2 linked regions of the Caenorhabditis elegans genome follow. The protein of the gene in region 2 purifies or fractionates together with the protein of the main gene of each other region. This does not show direct contact. Each region holds a gene or a part of one and is shown on either strand. Other genes may lie near its edges. The genes, in order: csr-1 and emb-4.

Region 1 (7,323 bases), on a different chromosome or scaffold from region 2:
ATGGATCAGCAAAAAGAGCTCATTATCAGAAAAAGGAGAAGATGAAGCTCTCTTTCTCACTCTCTCTCTCTCCCTTTTTTTTCTTTGCTCATTCGAACTCAACATAGTTGTATTCTGAGCATCTGACGGCGAAAATATCATTAACGTTCAGAAAATAGCAGCTTTGTTTCAGAAAGGCGAGGGAGAAATGAGAAATCGAAACTGTGGCATAAAGCTCGAAATTTTTATGAAGAGGGTTTTCAGGGAGCAGAAATTCAAAATGGAATTTACAATTATCAATCCGAAAGTTATTTATCAATTTCCCCGCAAGAAACAATTTCCTTTTTTAAATAGATATCGTGTTAATGTACTATTTATATAATGGGTTTCAAACCAGCAAGAATCTATGGTCTTTCGGAATTCTGAAATTCTCACAAATTTATTCATGAGAAGCTGAGAAGAGAAGGGCACATCTTCTGAATTTCTCTTTTTATTCCACATTCGGTGCGTCATTTCATTCGGTAGACGAGCTGTTGTATTTCAGATAGATGAAGCTCTTTCAGTGGCTGCACACAAATAACTAATTATCATGTGTCATTAATAAAACCAGATGAATGCCACGTGAAAACTCATGAATTCCTGAGTTTCGCAGTTGTATACCCCCCAGGAGTCAACGAAAAATGTGTCATGAAAACATTTTATGGATCATGTTTTATGAGCAACAAATTCATTTTCTTGAGCCTTCACCAAAAAATTAGATTACGCAGGCCGTATGGCAGGGGTAAATGTTTCACACGAATCAAAAGATCTTTTGCATACACTGTTTCAACTTTTCATCGTTGAATAAAATCTGCCACAAAAATTCATGCAAAGATAAAAATAAAAACAACATTATTCAACACGACATTTATATAATGAAGTTATACTAACCAGTGGAACAAGGTAAAGGTAGGATATTCTTTCCACAATTTCATATGAAAAGAAATCTTCCAGTGAACATATGTGAGAAGACCGATTGTTCAACATATCACCAGAAATGATAATTATATTTGAATGGAAAGAAGAGCAAGTTGTGTTGTATTCAAGAGAAATACTGGCTGCGCTTCTCTATATTCAAAAACAAACGAAGAATGGGAGGAGCTTGAGAAGAGAGGGTGGAGGCAAGAAAAAGGGAAAAAATAAGATGAGACTTTAAGGGAGGAAAATTTAACAGTTAAAATATTACGAGCGGAGGAATTTATCTATTGAACTAAGTCTCAGGATATTCGAGACATGAGGAATGTAGGAACAACAGGGAAAGAGTTGCACGCCTAAACAACTCGAACTTTTGAAAGTCGATCGAGAGTGCTATAGGAGAGTTGAGTGGTGAGCGTTTCCCAATCATCAAAGAGTTCGCCATTCTTGAACCTGAAAAAATTAAAATTTTAAGTTGCATTGAATAATCACATTATACCTATAAGCTTTGTAAAGCCCGGTTCCTCTCTTGGCGAGCTCATGAGCAACGTAAACTGGAGTTGGGATGGATGTTGGACTGTTAACAAGCTAAAATTTTCCTTTGTGTTAGAAAGAAATCAGTTGTCTGTACCTGATGAAGACTGCATACGGCGCAAACCATTTTGGCAACATGTTCGTCCGAAACTTCCTCATCATCTCGAATAACCAAGAATGATGGAACCTTTGCAGTACCTTGCACTGGCCGGAAAGCTTGGATGAAGATTTGTCTTTTTCCATATTCGGCAATATCACCACCAACAGATGTATCGGGAAGCGGATTCTGAAAAATAAGACGTACAATTTTAACAGATTATTGTTTTAAGAACTTACGATCGGCATGTTCCCGTGATGTCCTCCCTTGGCGTAGAATCGAGTGTGGTGACGTTTTTTAACAACAATGGCTAATACTTTTGGAGCATAATCAGAATGGCCCATGGACTTAGCGGCTGTCTTAATGGTTTGCTCAATGATTTCCACCTCCTTCAGAGCCGCAGTCTCTTCACCGAATGAAACACCATCACGGAAGATGATTACTTTCTTTGGGAAACCTCGAATTTCGGCAAAGTTTCGAACGCTTTGGTCAGTGAATTTTCGCAAAATTTCATCCTGGATCGCCTCTCTTCTAGGATCGGTGTATAAGAAGTCTCCAATGAACGAGTATGGGTTTTCAGCAGAATTGCAGGACAGCTATAAAATAAATTTGTAGCGACACGGCTATGTTGATAACTTACTCCGACGGTGGATGGATTTCCTTCTCTCGCAGCGTTTCGGTCAGGATGAGCAACGTCCATTCCAATTACGAAGGTAGAAACTTCATTCCAGCACGCAAGACTGTAAAAATTAATTTAATAATGTATGATGTGCGCCCAACTAACTCTCTTGGAATATCTGCTGTGTAGTTAAGTCCACCGCATTTAATGTTGGCTTTCATCACAATATTGTCAAGAGTCAAATCATATGCTCTTCTTCCACCTTGAGACTTCTTTTCGATGTTGTCACGCATCTTTTTGACATTTTTGAGAAGTACGTGCTGCGTTGGAATGTCACTCATACGCTCTTCGAATTTGAGGCACTCATGAATGTTAGGAACGTCATCGGAAATAAACAAGACGAACGGAGTGAAAGACGAATCCCGGTAGTTTGGATGAGTCACCAAGTTTTTGAAGACCGAAGTAAGGAAATTTTCGCTGCCTCGTTCGCCATTGTGCTGATCCATGCTATAACTGCCAATGTGCATTCCTTTGTCCTTGCAACGCTGCATGAATGCTTTCGCGACAAATTTGGTTGCATCGCAATCAGCATCCCAAGTTCGAGTATAACCTGCTACTAGAACGAACATCAAATGGTCAATCGTAGCAGGTGTAACAAACTTTTTGTCTTGTGCTTTCCAGTCACGCTTCTCATCATCCACGTGTACCGGGTCTGCATATGCAACACTAGGCGCGAGGACTCTTTCACCGTCGATCTCACTGACGTTGTTGAAAGGATCATTGCAGATTTGGACACCAAAATCTTTCATGACTTGATCGTTGAAACCAAATTGATCGTAGTGTTTTTGAAGAGTTGACCAGCGTTCGTTCGGGGCATTCGCTCGTGGCTGTAAGTTGAATTAAGATGACATATATGAAAAATTTAAACTTACTGTAAGCTCAAACTCTTCGAGTACACGGCGGTCAATGGATTGATAAGGAAGAACCTTCAAATATTCGAGCGGCATGAGGCGCTTGTGTGGTCCAGTGCCGCATTGAACTGCAGGAAGCATTGGGAATTTCAGATTTGGATACTTTTGTCTGAATTCTGGATCTTTCGGCGCGTTGTAGTCAACATCCGACACTGTGATAGTGTTCGTAGCCCAAATCTGTTTGTCATCGTAATATGGGTTGCATTTTAAATCCTTCAACAATAGTTTCACGGCTCTTTGCAGTTTCATATTTGGATTAACGATACGGTTTGGCGGAAAATCACGAGGAAATGCGTACTGCAACATCTGACTGAGTGGGATTGAAGCATAGTACTGAGTCGATTGAGCTGCAAATATATAAAATTGCAAAGGTATGAACGCGAATGAAACTAACGATCGAGTTCTAGAATTGGAAGAGGTCCGTTTGCTCCGACGATTCGGCATCCTTTGTGGATTCCTTTTGCTGCAACAGCCCATTTCACGCGAAGCTCCTCCAAGCTTTGAGTGTGGACATAGAGACCTTTCGACTGCGACAAATATCTTTCGCTGAAGATACATTTGGAAAGCAATAAGTAAGAAATTAATAATACCTTCTAATGGCACTCTGTGATGTCACAATATCCAAATAAGCGTAGAATCTTGGATCACTCCATTCGTTAAGCTCCGTCTGAACGAATGACGGTTTCTCGAGATCCGGTTCACAAGAGATCTCCAAATCGCCGCTGAGGAACGAGATGGAATCCTTCAGAAAATTGGAAAGTTCCGGGATTTCGAGAGCATCTTCTTTCTTGATATCGACCATCTATAAACCCAAATACAAGAAAGAAAAAAAAATGAAATCATACCAAGCTGATTCCCTCCAAAGTGAATAAAGACTGTGCACCGTCGTACGCGAATGCAGGAAGATTCTGCTGACCCTTCTTCGCGGCCCACTGTTTGAGTAGGATGTCAAGAAGAATAAAGTTATCTTTTTGCTTTGTTGCACGGTTTCCACGTCCTCTGAAATAAAAGTGTAAATTTTAAACGAACAGTACACTCACCTGGCACTCATTGTTGTAAGAATATACTCCTTATTGTGCTGACGATCGATGAGCTTCATTTGCACAACATGCCGGAAAATCGTTCGCTCAGAGAGCTCAAGCCCGAAGATGTTCAGGGCAAGTCTTGGATTTTGCTTCTGATTCATGTCAGAGTTAAGTCCTGAAAAAAGTATAGTTCAAATTATTATTTAAAAAATAAAAGCAATGATATCAAAATTCAAAATAAGAACGGGAAAGAAACGATCAACTAAACGCAGAGAAAGGCCTAAATTTCAAGTTTTTGGGAATGCGAAAATTCTAGAAGATTGTGATCACACCTGACGCGAAGTCGCACACTTTTCATCTACCGTATCCATGTGAGAGAGCGCGCACCACCCTTTGTTCAATGTTTTGATCAGATGAAACAATTTTTAAATATGCTAAAAAAAGAAAATATGTTGATTTCGTTAGCTTTTATTGATTTCATAACTATTCAGTCTTCTATTTTATCAAATTACTGATTTCTCAAAATTGTTTGTTATGTGCCTCCGCATTGGTATTTCTTTGTTGGTGGGAAGATTTTTTTTAAATCTCGAAAAACAATTTCCCGCCCGAGATCGAAATTATTTCGGTTCGTTCCCCGAAAAATCACAGGTGCGAGATCAAAAATTAATTTAAAAATCAGTCGCTATTTAAATACAAAATAATACTCAAATAATACTCACCTTTAAGCTTTGGCTCTGCTGAATTTTCCAAGATCAATCCATTATATTTAGGATCCACGGTAGTGGTTTGGGTCGATCCACCTCTGCCGCTCCCGCCAGTTCTCCCGCGATAGTTTCCGCCATTTGCTCCCCGATTGTACCCTCCAAAACGATTTTCTGCTTTTGATTCTTCATCATCACGTCTTCTGTCGTAACCTCCTCGTCCACCTCTGAATGATCCGCGGTTGCCTCTCGATCCTTCCTGACCATCTCGATGCGAGCCACGATAACTTCCAGTTGGCGTCTTCTCATAGTTGAAATCATGACGGTCTCCTCCTTCATACTTTACCTTGCCTTGATACGTTACATGGGTTTCTCTCGTTTCTAAATCCGGACGATACGAGTCTCCGTATCCTCCACGTCCTCTACCACGTCCACTACCTCCACGAGAACCACCACGGCTTCCACGGCCACGACCGACATTATCCGACTGCATTCTAACCTGAAAATATTGATAAATTAATCAAGAAATGTAATATTATTATTTTTGTGAAATTTTGAGGATGACAGTTGTTTATTATCCGCAAATTTTGAGGTACACAAATATCGAAAGCTGATTTCAATTGATTGAGAGAAAAAAGAAGGATTTTCGAAAAAAGAAAAAAACTTTTGAAGACCTATTTATTCAGATTTGGAAAACAGTTAAGTCAAATTTAAAACCTTAAAAGCATCACACAAACCTTCAAAGTATAAGAACTCTAACAATTCTTGCGAAAAACAGGAAAGTCTCGCTTCAATTTTGGAGCTAAAACGATAGAATAAACTAAACTTGAAACCTGACAAAACACCACGTATGCTGACCTTGAAAAACGTGGCTTTTTGGCCGTTTACCGTGACAAAGGTCAACACTTTTTTAATATATTTTACGCGTGGTGAAAGTTATCACAATTATTACTGGAGCACTAAATCCTGAGAATGAGTACTGTAGCAATAAATACTGTAGCATACAATTTTTAAACTAAAATTGAATCAAGGCTAAAAATAATTTTGAAAACAGAATTTCCAAAATATGTTTTTAAAGGATATTCTTACCGAACACTCGAAAATATGAATACAATGAAAATAAAAATTCAAATCTTATTCATGAAATTATCAGAGAAAGAGGAAAATAAATAAAAGCTCTTTGTTCCCATAAACATTGGAAAACCAATAAAAATGGGGTGAAATGGCATGATCACGTCTGCAATAAAGATGATTCATAACTGTTTATGCATCAAAAAAAAATGTTTGATTTTGGAAAATGTATCTAGTTATTTGGAACTAGGACGATAACCGTAATCAGAGATACAAAAGTTTGAACATTCATACCGATAATTAGTGATTAGCGGTATTTTGAAAAATGTAGATAATTCAACTAGAACAATGCACTATTTAAATTTGTATCAAGAAAGTTTCTAGTTCTTGAATTAAAGACAAAAATTCAAAATAAAAAATCTGCTTACACAATTGATTTGATAAAATTTTGTTAACAGCAAACATGTAGACAATAAAATATTTTGTCTGTTAAAATGTGTTTTTGATTTATGAGTTGGAGTCCCGTTAACGTAATCATTTCATGTAAAAATACAGTTCATTACTATATTAATAAAAGTAAAAAGTTTTAGACTTGTTTAAATTTGCGAAAACCTTCAACTGTCCGTTCCCAAAAATAATCCACAGTTTCATAATTCTCCTGGAGAATGCCTTGTGTGCTCAAAAATATTCATATTTCTATGAAAAAAGTGATAACAAAGAACCGAAAATTCAAAATCTCACGATAAACGATAACAAATCGTGGAAAAAACACTATTATTTTGACAATTTTCCAATATTTTCAATGCTCACTTTCCCATTTGTTAATTACTTTTTTTGGGGTTACTGTAGCCGAGCTATATAGCTGAATTTTCTTAGGAAGGTTTTCTCTGATTTTCTCAAAAGAATCTAATTTCAATTCCATTAATAATCTCAATTACCTTGCCTCAACAAAAATACTCAAATTTCAGTGTTTGTCATAGAATGATTACAAGCATGGGCGGTTGAAGAAAGAGTGTATTGGTGGAGAGAGACTCAGAGCTCACCTGTCGCATAACTTTCCCACGGGTTCCTAATATAAATCAAAACCTGAAGCCGAAAAGGCTCTCATTCTCAATCTAATTCCTAATCGTCATATATATTGGCAACTTCTCAACTCTACATTTTCTTAAAGTCTTTTAAATAAAAACTATTGAAAAATGGCTTTCAATATTGAAAGTTTACTGGAGAAAAAATCTAATCCAGTTGAAGAAGGTAATGATTTTGAGGAAGAAAACGACAGCGAAAAAAACGGTGAAGAAGACGAAGAGGAAGAAGAAAAAAATGTAATTGATGGTTGGACAAATATGGCAACAAGCCAATTGGCAATGTTTGC
Region 2 (4,994 bases):
TTCCAGCCGCTGCGAAAAGCCGATACAATTTCAAATTTTAACTAATTTTTGGCCATTTTTTGAGCCGTCATAACTTTTTTTGAGAAGTTTTCAAAAAAGTTTCATTATGAAATTCGGTGTTATCAGACGATTTTGAGTCTAATAAAGCAATAAAAACAAATTTCGACAACTCAAAATTTGAAATTTAATGTGAAAATATAGAAAATCATTAGATTTATTTGAAAATAAAATACATTTCAGTCGAAAAATTTAATAAAGTGCTCAAAAATGGCCTTCTGAGCACTTTATCAATTGTGTTTCGACTGAAATAAATTCAATTTTCAGAAAAATCAAGTACCTAATTTTCTATATTTTTATACTAGTTTTCAATAAAAAAAATGGTGGCAAAACATGATATTTTGAAGAAATCCGCATAAAAATCGTCAAAAACCCGAAAATTGACGTGTTTCTACAGTAAAAAGGCTACGAAATTCACTGTAGAAACGCCAATTTTCGGGGTTTGACGATTTTTATGCGGATTTCTTCAAAATGTCATGTTGTACCATGTTTTTTTTAAACCATTTTAGCGCCCGTTTTTTCTCAAAAATTCTCAATTTTCAGCCGCCAATTCCCGCACCTGAAAGATCATCAATCTCAAATCTAGCGTAAAATTTGAGGAGTTGAACCAATTGGAAGAACAGCGAACCAGCGTCAGTGGAAATCAACGAAGAAAGCAGGCAATGTGTGAGAATATGTGATGAATGAAGTACTGAATTGAAGAATCGTCTCGTTTGAAGAATTGATTCTAAATCAATCAATAATTCGATGAATCTCTCGCAATATTTGATCGAATCAATTGGATCACGTACTTCTCCTTCTTCGGATTCTGCAAAAATTGTGGATTTTCAATGAAAAAGACCAATTTTTTTAGAAAAAATCGCGCGAAAATCGAATTCTACAACACATTTTCCGGGACTTTTTTTAGTTCAAAAATCACAAAATTTGAATTTTGGCGCTGAACTCTTAGCTGGAATTTGATACAATTTAGGGAAAAATTAATTGGAGAAACTGCTGATTTCTCGAAAAAATAGAATTTTTATTGCAAAATTTCTGAAAATTACTCGAAATTTGCCCGAAAAATGGGCTAAAAATGCTGAAAATACCATAAAAAATGTAAAAATTTGAGAAATTACTCAAAATTAGATGCTAAAAGCTAAAAACATCGGAAAAATCAGTGAAAATCCGCTGAAAATGTGTAAATTACGATGAAATTTGGTTTTGGGCGCTGCTTAGACTACAAACTACAAATTTTGGGCGCTGCTTAGACTACAAACTACAAGTTTTGGGCGCTGCTAATTCAATTTTGGGCGCTGCTTAGACTACAAACTACAAGTTTTGGGCGCTGCTAATTTAATTTTGGGCGCTGCTTAGACTACAAACTACAATATTTTGGGCGCTGCTGTGAATTTTTCACGTTTTTTCGTCATTTTCAAGAGATTTTAATGAGGTTTTCATTGAAAAATCGAAAAAAAATTACGGTTTTCGGATAAAAAACTAATATTTTCTTTAATTTTTCGCATTTCTCTTCAAAAAAACGGAATTTCCGGCGTTTTTCACCGATTTTCTCCGTTTTTTCCGGAAAATTTAGCATTTTCCACGTACCCTGAGCCTCATTTGGCTCCAAACTGTTCAAAACTCGTTTAAATTTCTCGATTAAATTCCACAAATAAGTCCGTTCGAACTCGTTGTTGTCCGCCGCCGCCGCCGTCATTTTCTGCCGCACATTTTCCCAAATTTTCTTCAATTTCTTCTGTTTTTTGAACAAATCTTCGCGTTGTGAGTCCAAAAGACCGGCCCAAATCTCAATTGAGACGAGTTTTCGTGTCTCTTTGTGCACAATTGGTGTCTCAACGGAGCCAAATGCGTTGACAAGGAATGTCAGAAGAGCACAGTGTTCTGAGGAGGCGAGTCTGCAAAATTTCGAAGGATTTTTTGGTGAAAATTGGGGAGAAATTTAGTGGAAAATCGCATTTTTCGCGTTTAAATAGTGGTGATTTTCAGTGGTTTTTTGCTTTTTTCGCGAAAAAAAACAAGAAAATTGCTCGAAATTAGGTGCAAAATGAGCGAAAATGCCGAAAAATTGCTATGAAATTCGCAAAATGCAGCTAAAAATGAGCAAAAAGCGATGAAATTGGTTTTTTGGGCGCTGCTAAGACTACAAACTACAAGTTTTGGGCGCTGCTAATTCAATTTTGGGCGCTGCTTAGACTACAAACTACAAGATTTTGGGCGCTGCTAATTCAATTTTGGGCGCTGCTAGACTACAAACTACAAGTTTTGGGCGCTGCTAACGACATTTTGGGCGCTGCTAGACTACAAACTACAAGTTTTGGGCGCTGCTAAGACTACAAACTACAAGTTTCGGGCGCTGCTTAGACTACAAACTACAAGTTTTGGGCGCTGCTAGACTACAAACTACAAGTTTTGGGCCCTGCTAATTCAATTTTGGGCGCTGCTTAGACTACAAACTACAAGTTTTGGGCGCTGCTAAGACTACAAACTACAAGTTTTGGGCGCTGCTAATTCAATTTTGGGCGCCGCTTAGACTACAAACTACAAGATTTGGGCGCTGCTAATTCAATTTTCGAGCTAATTTCGAGTTTTCTGAGCTTTTTCGCCATTTTTCCGCTAAAATCTCGAATAATCACCCTTCTTCCTGCAACGAAAGCTGCAAAATGCTCTTAAAAAAGTGCGGAAAGTGCTCGGATTTCTTCGTGAAACAGTTCCACGAATCCAAATTTCGTTCTCGAAATTTCTCATTAATCATCACAACAATCGACATATTCCAGGCCTTTGAGGCTTTTTCTGGAACGTAATTCGGCCATAAATAGGCCTCCAAGTACTGCGAAAACTCGAGCATCATGATTTTTCGCGAATTAAACGAGGTTTTCAGCATTTCATTGTCGTAAATTGTGTCGATGAGCTTTGCGTCGAAATTTTCGTGAGTTTCTGCTGTGAATGGAGCCCAGAACTTGGCGGCGACCTGAAAAATTGGGAAATTTTAGGAGGAAATTTGATTTTTGTAAGTTTTCTAAGGTTTTTTTGCACCCACCGCTGAAATTGTGTCATTTTCGATGGCTCCCCGAGTCACCACGGCTTCTTGATGACGTTTAGTCACCATTTACACCTGAAAAACAGTTTTTGCCGAAAATCGCAAGATTTTAGCGATGAAACTGGTGAATTTGGGAGAAAATATCAAGAAATATTAAATTTTCGAGTTTTTTAATGCAAAATTCACTAAAAAACCTCGAAAATTCATTGAAAAACAACGGAAAATCAGAAAAAATAACTGAAAATAAAAATAAATTTCGAAAAATCCGGAAGCGCGCCTTGGACTTTTGCTGGCGCACTTTGCGTGCTTGGCGCATTTCTCGATTTTTTTAATTTATTTTTTGTCATTTTTCATCGAAAAACCTGCAAAAACCTCAAAAAATCACGATTTAAAGTTAATTTATTCAATAAAAATCAATTATAAATCCTCAAAATACTCATAATGAGAAAATCGCATCGTGTGAACGTCGAAAACCTTGGCCAATTGGAGTTTTGAGCGGATTTGGAGCACTTCTTCCTGCAAAAATGTGTTAAATTTTATTAATTTATCAATATTTAGAGTGAAAAAGCTAAGAAAACCTTAATTTTCCGGATAATTCTCAAAATCTGCGCCAGGCGAACTGAATATCTCGGCGTTTCCTTCACATTAACATAGTAATCATGCAGATTATTCGCCAATTTTTCCATAATTTTCTCGCAATTTTCTTGAATTTCGCCTCGAAATCGGCGTCCCGCGTGTCCGAGCACCAAATGAGCCAGCATATAGGACAGCTCCACGTCATCTGGGTTCAAATTCATCATTTCTTGGGCAAATTTGTAGGTTATGTGGTTTTCTGACGTGTCGTAGAAGCTGAAAATTGGTGAAATTCTGCTGAAAATGCGCTGGGCGCTGCTAAGACTACAAACTACAAGTTTTGGGCGCTGCTAATTCAATTTTGGGCGCTGCTTAGACTACAAACTACAAATTTTGGGCGCTGCTAATTCAATTTTGGGCGCTGCTTAGACTACAAACTACAAGTTTTGGGCGCTGCTAATTCAATTTTGGGCGCTGCTTAGACTACAAACTACAAGTTTTTGGGCGTTGCTAATTCAATTTTGGGCGCTGCTTAGACTACAAACTACAAGTTTTGGGCGCTGCTAATTCAATTTTGGGCGCTGCTTAGACTACAAACTACAAATTTTTGGGCGTTGCTAATTCAATTTTGGGCGCTGCTTAGACTACAAACTACAAGTTTTGGGCGCTGCTAATTCAATTTTGGGCGCTGCTTAGACTACAAACTACAAATTTTTGGAATTTTGAAGCAATTCCAATAGAGTTTTTAATGGAAAAAATGCCAGAAAACTGAGAAAATTAATAATTTTCGCGGAAATTTTCGCGGAAAAGAAAATCGAATTGGAGATGGTTTTGACTACAAACTACAGCATTTTGGCGCTGTTTAAGCCTAAAATGCACACTTTCGCAGGATTTTGTCACAAAAATTTCGAGTTTTCGGGTGATTCTGAGGGGGTTTTAAGCGTATTTCCGAAATTTTCCGCTACAAAAACTACTATTTGGTTTGATCTACGAGAATTGCGGGGTGTTTAGAGATAGAGTTTGCTGACGTCATATTTTTCTGGGAGTGAAAATTTTTCCCGCATTTTTTGTTGATCAACCCTAAGTACTTACAATTGCATTTGCTGATTGGTTAATCGTGAGCACCACGTCAAATCCAACTCCATATTCTTCATATCCATCATTGAATACTCATTTTTATGCGAAAACATTACACAATCACCGCAGCACATCTTCATCCGTCGCCCCATCGCTGTAATTGCCAACTTATCCAGACGAGACCATACATGCCACGTGGCGGCAAGGATTTTTAGCTGGAAATTTTCGGGATTTCAGGTGGTTAAAACTATAA

The links.
Region 1: the proteins of emb-4 (region 2) and csr-1 purify together in Caenorhabditis elegans (affinity purification with western blotting, with the first as the bait; one study listed by BioGRID). This does not show direct contact.

Annotation. Positions count from the first base shown.
Region 1 is NC_003282.8:7,955,630-7,962,952, reverse strand, and holds csr-1 (Piwi domain-containing protein), read right to left. Parts: upstream 5,687-7,323; 5' UTR 5,618-5,686; intron 5,380-5,617; 5' UTR 5,374-5,379; coding exon 4,899-5,373; intron 4,355-4,898; coding exon 4,195-4,354; intron 4,154-4,194; coding exon 4,000-4,153; intron 3,957-3,999; coding exon 3,745-3,956; intron 3,701-3,744; coding exon 3,549-3,700; intron 3,502-3,548; coding exon 3,116-3,501; intron 3,071-3,115; coding exon 2,349-3,070; intron 2,305-2,348; coding exon 2,205-2,304; intron 2,161-2,204; coding exon 1,804-2,160; intron 1,754-1,803; coding exon 1,565-1,753; intron 1,522-1,564; coding exon 1,433-1,521; intron 1,387-1,432; coding exon 1,290-1,386; 3' UTR 796-1,289; downstream 1-795. Other genes in the region: Homeobox protein ceh-19, read left to right, coding at 7,148-7,323.
Region 2 is NC_003283.11:18,891,809-18,896,802, forward strand, and holds the start of emb-4 (Intron-binding protein aquarius), read right to left. Parts: upstream 3,167-4,994; 5' UTR 3,161-3,166; coding exon 3,092-3,160; intron 3,023-3,091; coding exon 2,688-3,022; intron 1,950-2,687; coding exon 1,642-1,949; intron 866-1,641; coding exon 617-865; intron 1-616. Other genes in the region: nhr-243 (Nuclear Hormone Receptor family), read right to left, coding at 3,509-3,607, 3,670-3,940, 4,757-4,956.